Linked DNA regions of Drosophila melanogaster. The protein of the gene in region 2 interacts with the protein of the main gene of each other region in a biochemical or structural test. Each region holds a gene or a part of one and is shown on either strand. Other genes may lie near its edges. The genes, in order: Ubqn and Rpn12.

Region 1 (6,643 bases), on a different chromosome or scaffold from region 2:
TGAGTGTTTGTGCCAAATGATGAGTGTCTTATTTAGCTCACGCAAGGCTAAATTTTAACCATTCCAGGATTTGTTTTGACAGCAGCACATTGCGTATTTAGAGAAGCCATGTAAGTCCTGCCCATTCGCCAGCATATGTGGTGGTCATCAGCCCATTACCCAATCTCTCCCTGTAGGCAGGTGCACTTGGGTGATTTCGACGCCTGGAATCCTGGACAAAATTGCAGCTCGGGTGCTCGCTTATCAAACGCATACTGCGTTCGGATCGACAAGAAGATCGTGCACGCCGGATTCGGCAAAATACAAGCCCAACAGTACGACATTGGCCTACTCCGGATGCAGCATGCGGTGCAGTATTCAGGTAATTGAGTGGGAGATATCCAGTCGTTGCCCTCGAAAGTCTCAACCAGAACTGCCTTTCCCCTATAGACTTCGTGCGCCCCATTTGCCTGCTCATCAATGAGCCAGTGGCGGCCATCGACCGATTCCAGTTGACCGTCTGGGGCACCACTGCAGAAGACTTTCGCAGCATACCACGGGTGCTGAAGCATTCCGTTGGGGATCGTATCGATCGCGAACTCTGCACCTTGAAGTTCCAGCAGCAGGTGGACGAGTCGCAGATATGCGTCCACACCGAGACGAGCCACGCATGCAAAGGGGATTCCGGTGGCCCCTTTAGCGCAAAAATTCTCTACGGGGGCACGTATCGCACCTTCCAGTTTGGCATCATCATCTTCGGCTTGAGCTCCTGTGCGGGCCTAAGTGTCTGCACCAATGTGACTTTCTACATGGACTGGATCTGGGATGCTCTGGTTAACTTGTCGGCATGAGGACATAAGTTATAAGTTATAAGTGTATAAGTTATTATAAACGTTTAAGCTGCAGTAAAGATTTGGAATAGCAATTAGAAAGTACTGCTTACTAAAACTAAGCCAGAGTGGGTGAGCTGCTTTATTTCGGATGCCTTTGGAAGTAAATGAGATAGTAGAGAGTAATAGACGAGGTTGGCTATAATCTAAAACCAAAGTAGCTTTATTACGTTTTCAAACATGTGATCATTTACATTTAATTACTTTGCCTCACTTCCTTCACTAAACAAATAAACGTAGTTCCACTAGTCCACTAGCCCAACTGACCAACCAACAACCCGGCCAGCCAGCCAGCCGGCCAGCCAGCCAGCCGGCCGACCAGCCAATCCCACAGCGGACGAGCGAGGCTATGTGGTGGTAGCACTTACAGGGTATACACTGAATCCATATCTTATATAAACGGTGAGCGCGCGAAGGAAAGCTTTTCGAAAGTGTGTGTGTGTGTGATTGATCGGAAATGGGAACCCAAATGGTCGGTTATAGGTTTTATATACGAAAGCTTAGAGTAAATTACATTACAAGTTATTATTGGGGCTTCCTCTCTTTACTAAGGAGTTGGTTTTTTTTTTTTTTTTTTTTTTTTGTTTTATAGTTTTACGTCTTTTGTTAACACCTTGGAATATTTTGATATATATATATATATGTATATACATATATATATACCTATATACACACATTAACTTACAGTAGATATCGTTAGCATGCAAATCGCTTGTGTGCAACAACTTTTTACATTTGTATTCCTCTGAACGGGATGTGGGATAAATAACGCTTGGAGATTGCTCTTATATTAACGAATCGATAAACATTTTGATTGACTACAGCATACTCGCGCGTATGTTAGGATTCCCCCAAGACAGTGTCGTCTTTGCATATAGCCGATATCTACTGTACGTTTGTCCTGTTTGCAGTTGTTTGCAATTTCCAGAACGTTTTCCGATCGCGAGAAATGGAGGGGGGGGGGAGTCAGAAGGACTGCGGCTATAGCCCACGCCCACTAGCACCCGACTAAAACTAAACTGCCTGACCAGAACACAGGATATATACTACGCCTCTGATCTCTGTACCGATTCTTTTTTCTTAAACACAAAACTGGAATTCGCATCTGTTGGCGACAAAATAGTTATTACATTATCAATGACAAAAGTGCACATTCCCGCTTAACTTTATTGAAAATTAACGAAGTTCTCCGATAAAGAAATGCGTTAAGTATTTCGATTGAAGTTGTTGGGCGTGCAAAACTATGCATTACGTGAGCAAAGTATGCATATTCAAGTTGGTTTTCGGCTAACGCATTTCCGCTTAAAGGATTCTCCGAGCTCACGAAATGTAAATTATTTAAAAAAAAAAAAAATCTGATATCAACTACGAAAGTGCTAACACTTTGGTATGCGATCCCTATCTAACATTCTCACCGGCGTCATTCATATCACCCACCTATATCTAGTATCTCTCCGATCTCGAGGCAACTATGCTCGTTTGGAGCCATCTTTTTGTGTCTTGGGGGTGTTGGTATGTTGGCATGTGGCTATGATGGATTCCTGACATTTCCGGCTTGATGGGGAAACAAGCGATCAGCAGCGCTGACCGTGGAATTTTTTGGCGGAGGGTGTGTGTTTGGGTTTAGGACCTGTCCTCCTAACTAGTCGTGTTCTCATTCGCGTTCTCCAGGGCCGTAGTGGTATATATAGTAGTTGTAGTTCGTAGATATATAGACAGGTTGTGTACAGTTTGGTTATGGCTATGGCTTAGCCTTGTTAACTCAAGGACAACTGGTTGAGGGACAGCAGTCGCTCTACCGCCGCATTGATGTCCCCGAAGGTAGCGATCAGAGCTGCAAACCAAACACAAGAGAGCGGATTAGAATCATCGCACAGGGCAGGCGACCCACCAAGACCCACTAGGACACTCACCCTGCAAGTTGGCATCACGGTTGACAAAGCCCATGGCGTTCAGCTGCTCCAGCTGCGACTGGTAGCGCACCTCCGGCGGCTGTGTGTTGTCCGCGTTGTTCGACATCCCGTTGAGCATGCGCATCATGAAGTCGTTGAAGAGCTGCGCGTTGGGACCACCGCCCGGGGCCAGGTTTGGAGTGCCGGTGCCGGCGTTGAGGCCGCTGCTTGGCGAAACATTGTTGGTGCTGGCACCGCTGTTGCCCCCGCTCCCATCGCCGCTGGCTGGATTCGTTCCGGTGCCGGCACCCGGTGGTGGCGGTGGAATGCCCAGGGTGCCAACGAGACCTGGGGCCGCGCTGCGCAGCTGCTCCATGCCCTGCTGGATCTGCAGGATAGCGTTCATTGCATCCGGATTGGTCAGCATGTTCATCACCTCGGGGTTCTGCATTTGGGCCATAAACTGCGGCATCATCTGACGCACCTGCTCCTGCAGGGCGGGATTGTTAGACATGAGCGGACTGCTGCTCAGCAAGCGCGCGGCCATGTCCGGGTCCTGTGACATGGACTCCATCATGGAACGCGTGTAGGGCGCGTTCAGCAGGTTCTGCATCATGGCTGGATTGTCGGCCATCTGCTGGAGCAGGCTTCGCATGGCCGGCGTGTTGAGCACATTGTTCGGCGGCAGATCCCCCGTCGGATTGCCGGCGCCGGAGCCACCGACTGTTCCATTGGTTCCCGAATTGGCACCGCCCCATGGATTCGGCAGGGGATTGCGGTTCTCGGTGCCCTGCTGCGGGTTGTTGCCGGCTCCTGAACCGCCGCCGTCGACCAGGCCGGCAAAGGGGTTGCGACCAAAGGATTCCGTGGCCGCGTTCATCATTGGCTCCTGAATATCGCGGTAGATGCGCTGCAGGGCGCTATAGCCGCCCGGCACCGACTCCAGATTCGACATGGCGCGGTCGTGCGAACGCATCAGCTCCTGCAACATCGAGGGATTGCGGGCCAGCTCCATCGTCTGGCGCAGCAGGTCCGGATTGTTAAGCATATGCGAGATCTCGGGGTTGCGCTGCATCAGGTCATGCATTTGCGGATTGGACGTGATAAGCTGACGCATGGTATCCGGATTATTCATCATCTGCTGCACCATCGGGTTGTCCATCAGGGAGCGCAGCATGTCGCCATTGTTGAGCAGCTCGTTCTGCATGCGCGCCTGCAGATCCATGAACGTGTTCGATCCGGCTCCAAGTGCCTCCATTCCGGCCAGGCCACCGAATTGATTGAGGCCAAAGGGCGTTTGGCGCACGTCAGCCGGCTGTCGGGCCGGCTGCTCGTTGTTGCGCGTCGGCGCCTTAATCACCAGATGCACCGTCAGGTTGTCCTTGATGTTGTGCATCTGAAGGGTGTCCGTGTCCTTCATAATTTTGCCGGCAAAAATGAGCACGAGCTGCTCGGGCTCCGCCTCGAACTTTTGTGCAACCAGAATTTTGAACTGTGGGGCGAGAATGGTGTGATTGTTGTCATTATTATGTGCCCATGGTCTAGTTTCCCCTTTCAATTAAATGTTCGCTCCCATGCCTCTGCTTCAATTTATGTGTGTTAATGGGAAGAAGACCAATCACTGTGCAAAGTGCACTGTACCAGCTGCGCGTGTTGTGTGCGGCTTAGGCAAAGTGCACTGTACCGCGATTACGGGCACTAATTTCCCAATACTTTCGGGGGTGTGGGCAAAGAGCAGGGAGGGAGGGAGGTGGTCCATCGCTATGAATGGAAGGGTCCAGAAGGGTTTGGGGTACCAGCAACCAAGTCAGGCGGGTCACGTGCTCCGTACTCACATCTTTTATTCCAGAATCTTCGTCAACTTCGACCGTTTTCTTGTCCTTTGGCGTTTTTACAACCACGTTGATGCGCTTGCTGCCGCCTTCCGCCATTTCGATGGTGTATTTGCGGTGTTCTCGTTTAGCTTAATTTGCACCGATGTAGCTGGTTCTTTCGAGATGTTATCACGTCTGTAATTTAAATGTGTTCCGAATATATACGTGTTTTCACCCTAAATTATTTCCCATTTGATGAAAAGTAATTCGTCACTTTCTCACTCACACGGACACACACACACTCACGATGGATTTCGATTTTGACTCTTACACACGCCAGGGCTGACGTATCAACCACCAATCGATGAATCGATAGCGGCCAATTGAACGCTTTGAACGCGTCCAAAACCGCTGCCAAGTAGTTTGCTCTGCTTGAAAACGTATTCGGCAGAGGGCGTTCTAGAGATACAAGCAACGGGTGGCCTAGAATTCGAATTTCGGCTGAAATGCGATGTTTGGCACCTATCGCATTTAGTGGGGCCGTTCGTCGACAGGTAGCCCCAGTGATATCGCATATCGGACTGCGATAACTTTCGATAAGCGGTCACACTGCGGACAAGCAACTCGTCGACAACATATATCGTCAGCATCGCGAGCGGGGGCAGGGAGGAGAGCGATCGCCTTAGCCAACTGAGGATTCTGCATTTGCGAGAGAGCCAGAGACAAAACAGTAACACGGTACCACAGTTGCTCGAAGCGAGCAATTGGCATTGCAAGGCCCTGATAGCCCTATTCGTAATTTAGTCGTAGTGAAGCCCCGGACAAGAAGCCCACACCTGGGCAGTGAAATGTTTAAGAGCCACTTCCAGGAACGCAGCGTATAAACGGTTTCCGAGAACTGGCCACCAATACACAGCCAACAAGTGCGAGGCCAACAGCAAGGTGCTCTTGTGTGTGTGAGAGAGCGCCGTTTTGGTGTGCGCGCGTGTGTAAGAGCGAGAGAGAGACAGAAAGAGAGGAAAAGAGCTAAAGACAGAGAGACAGAGTGGGAGAGAGAGAGAGAGAGAGCCAGAGTAAACCTTAACAGCAAGGGAAGGAGGGGATTAGGATTAGGATTAGGATTGGGAGCAGAACCAGGACCAGGAAGATGGTGGCCCAGGAGCAGCTCGTCCTGCTGCTCATGCTGCTTGCCGGCTGCCGGGGTGGCGCCAACGCCATCTTGGATCCTGGCTGGGTGATTCCCTCCAAGGTGGAGCAGCTCATCGGCGGCGACTTTAATCTGAGCTGCACCCTCAACGAAGACTACTTTAACGGCAAGAGCGCCGAGGACTGCCCGGTGGAGAAGCTGTACTTTACAGGCGGCGGCCGCGTCTACCGCGATTCCAAGCACATCCGAATCCTGAACAACACCACCATCCTGTTTAGCGACACGAATGCCGTGGAGCAAGAGAACGACTACCACTGCATGTGCGACGAGTATGTGATCAACAAGTCAAAGGTCTACGTGGGCACCAGGCCGCTCCTGGTGCGCGACTTCAACTGCCTGGACTACGACTTCCAGTTTATGGTGTGCAACTTCACCCAGCCGCCCAACACGGTCATCACCAAGTACAACATCAGCTACAACACCAACAACGACTGGCGATATAGCAACACACTGGACTGCAACTTCGACTCGGCGCCAGTGGTCACCTGTAACCTAACCGACGACAACTACAAGCGCTTCAGCGAGACCTTCTACTTCCGACTGTCCATCTCCAATGCCCTGGGCCACGAGACGCAGCCGATCACGATCAATCACTTTGAGCGTCTGGTGCCGGCGCGACCTGGCCAGAACCTGACCCTGCTCAACAGGACCGAGAGCTCCGTGTGCCTGTCGTGGGAGATGCCCCGTCGGTCCAACTACAATCGCGGCCTGGTGTGGCAGGTGCGCGTCACGCCGCAAAACTTTGAGCCCATCACGCGGCCCAGCTGGCGAAACCACACGCTGACCATCAAGGACACGCTCTGCCTCACGGAGCTGCCCTTCGCCGGCTACAACTACACGCTCCGGGTGCGCGTGCGCGCC
Region 2 (3,263 bases):
GGGGTGTTTTACGTAACACGAGCCTTCCGCTGGGAAGAATCGCTGCCGTAACTATTTGTTGGTTAAGTCGAGACTTACGGCGATGGCGCGCAGGAGCGACGTCTTGCTAGCGTTACAGGCCATGGCGTGGATTATGCTACAATTTCTTCTATTTGCTTTCTAAGCAATTTTTTACAAATATTCGCAGAGCGAAAATTTTTACGGTCGTTCGCGCTAGTGTGGCCGTCGCACGGGGTTCAACTAAGCCCTAGTTTTTCAATGCGCTCCAAAATGGTCACACCGAGTACCAGCTGTGACTTATGGTAAGTCACGGGATTTTCGAAATATCGTGATCTTGAATAATTTGACTAAGTGAAAAAATTTAACAAATGTTTTTCCTTGGCAGTTACATTCATACAGAAAAATGTATAAAATTGTTAGTTGTACTTTTACAAAATTATCCGTGAAAAGTTAATTTCAAACTGTTGCTAGGTTTGCAGAAATAATATACTACTGGCTTAGGAGTTTTAAATTTAATTTCTTGTTGTTTTCAATGTAATTACATATTATTATAAAAATTGTGGTATCCAGCGTGTTAGAACTGTTTTCTTAACCTTACTCTGTCGTTTATTAACGGCTGCTTTGCGACTTAAACTATCATCTCGAGGTCGCGGGCGTAGCTGAGCACCTGCTCGGCGAGTTCCTCGGAGGGCAGGAGCTCCTTGGGTTTGACGCTACGGTCCGTGAAGCTGTAGTCGCCGCTAGCCTCCAGTTTCCATTGACGCTTCGCGCCGAAGGCCTTGATCTCGTCGGGGACGCGCAGGTTGAGCCGCTTGGCTGCATCCTTGGCGGAGATCTTGTCGTAGGACTTCTCGATGCAGGCACCAATTTCATCGCGCACCGTTTCCAACAGAAGATCCATAAAGTAGCTATACACCTCGACGGGCACCGTCGACTTGGCCTGAAAGATCTTGTTGTAGCGTCCCTCCATGATGTACTGCTCGAGCGCCAGGATGGGCCGAATGAACTGATTGTGCTGGATGACGTCCACGGAGAGCAGCTCCAGTTCCGTGTGAAAGTCGGATACCCGGTTGCCAGACAAGAGGTACAGCAGATTCAGACCGAGCAGCTTATACTTGCTCTCCGATTCGCCAATGATCTTAGCGTAGTCATAGTAATAGCACTTCAGCTGCGCCATGTAGCGCTCGAAGGCGAGCAGGTCCTTGCTGAGCACGCTATGCTCCACGGCCACCTCAAGCACGCTCCTAGCCAGGATCAATTGCTTCTTGGAGCTCTGGGCATCGTTTCCGTCCGTCGGCAGGAAGGCCATCTTCACGAGCGCTACTTTCAGTTGATCCAGCAGCTGGCCGCATTTGACGGTGTTTGGTGGCCGCTTTGACCACTCGGCGGTCAGTTCTTTGTACAGCGATTCCACGTTGGCCATTCTTTAGATTGGTATATTGAAGCTTAAATGTTTTCTGCAAATTCCCAAGATGATTTTCGCTTTTTTTTAGAGATGGCAATTGTTGTAGGGTAAAGCGATAGGACAATCGTTATCGGAACAGTTATCGATTGTCAAGTTACCACAGGGCTGGGAATATTATTTAAGTGTAAGTTTAAGTTGAAAAATACATTTTTTAGACGAACTCTATATAGTTTAACAGTTTACAACTGAAAGCTTTATGATTTGATCCAAGGGGTATTGTATTTCCTTTGTGCTTTAATATCGATATATTTTAACAAACTATCTAATGGAGTTTAAATCTAAATTTTCGCATTTAAGCTCGGACTGTTTATTCAATTAGTGATTGTCTCAGTATAGTTAAAAATTTCGGGTATTGAAATCACGTCTATTTGACCTTGGGCATAAGTTTTGTGTCAAGAATAACTTAAATTATTAAGCGATTCAGAACTCTCATTCTTTGTGGGTCTTTAGATGGTACCGCAGTTGCGTGTTCGTGAAATAGCTTTTGGAGCACTTGGTGCATGGGAACGGTCGCTCTCCTGTGTGGCTCATCATGTGAATTCGAAGATGCGCATTCTGGGTAAAACGCCTTAGGACATTGGGAGCACTTGAAGGGGCGTTCGCCTGTGTTGATTATTAGATGCCTTTTAAGATTGGAAGCCAGCGTAAAATTCGATGTACAATGGGGGCACCGTTTTTCAGTGTGTATTGCAATATGTCCCGAAAGATGCGATACGCTCTTCAAAGCCTTTGCTGCTAAGCAGCAAGTGCTGCTTAAGTGCTGAGTTTATCCAAAACCTCGTTGGGCAATGAGGACATTGAAGCAGCTTATCATTATCACGTCCTTTATTTTGCAATCTATGGTTTTCACAACTATCATAGTCTTCGTCTATTACCTCAATATTGACTTGGCTATTGGATTGATCGCTGTCACAGTCCACGAACTGATCATCGTCTTTAAAGAGGCTCGTTCTACACTAGACAACATTCCCATTGGATCATGCCACTGCCTCGCCAATCTTCAACTACACTTTCGAGTTCGACAAAATGCTGAAAAGCACCTCCATCGATACTCGATTCCCCATCCTCGGAATAAGATACCTTGCGGAATCGGGATTCCTCCATTAACTAAACGTAAAATTATTAGCTCCTCTGGTGGGTTTTTCTAAACTCGAACGCATTTTGTGCATCTTGGCAGCAGGAGGTGCAAAATGTTTCGGGTAGATGATCGCCTTTTTCCACTTTGAGGCCAGTGCACTCGGAAATGATTGACGCTATTGAAGCTTCAGTGCCGTGCTTAACTTCAAAAATATTGAACTCGTTTTCACATTGCCCGAGGCAAATTCGGCACACCAACCCCAACTCCATACCTCCGAAATTGAGTTAAAAAATTTAGCGATCTCGCTTTCAGGTCGGATCGATCAATTTATTGTTTGTTTATTGTGTTAAAGATGCATGCTGATAAGTATCGATACTATCGTGCGGTTAATGGGGACGATAGGTACAACACCACTCACAATAAAGTATTTTTAGTGGAAAGTATAAAAAGAAGACTTCAATTAAAACAATAAATACAATACAATTACATTGGAAGTATTCTGATTGCATTGTGAATGTTGGCCACAAAGTATGAAAACTTTTTTCAGCTTTACTGAATTTAAATATTTCTTAACCATTTCGTTCGCTTTCAGAATAATATAATACCCAGAATGACTTCATAAATTTTATCACATCTTAGTTTGAATGTACACCTTTTAGCGATAGTTTCATGTTTCGGCCTGTGCTGCTAAGCGGTGATTCGCCTGCGCTTTCCAACACA

The links.
Region 1: the proteins of Rpn12 (region 2) and Ubqn form a complex in vitro, tested with the Drosophila melanogaster proteins (one study listed by BioGRID).

Annotation. Positions count from the first base shown.
Region 1 is NC_004354.4:19,682,050-19,688,692, reverse strand, and holds Ubqn (ubiquilin), read right to left. Parts: upstream 4,886-6,643; 5' UTR 4,693-4,885; coding exon 4,597-4,692; intron 4,254-4,596; coding exon 2,783-4,253; intron 2,704-2,782; coding exon 2,627-2,703; 3' UTR 1,035-2,626; downstream 1-1,034. Other genes in the region: CG14227 (uncharacterized protein), read left to right, coding at 68-110, 177-361, 430-830; dome (domeless), read left to right, coding at 5,723-6,643.
Region 2 is NT_037436.4:16,581,260-16,584,522, reverse strand, and holds Rpn12 (regulatory particle non-ATPase 12), read right to left. Parts: upstream 1,496-3,263; 5' UTR 1,424-1,495; coding exon 629-1,423; 3' UTR 501-628; downstream 1-500. Other genes in the region: UQCR-C2 (Ubiquinol-cytochrome c reductase core protein 2), read right to left, coding at 79-123.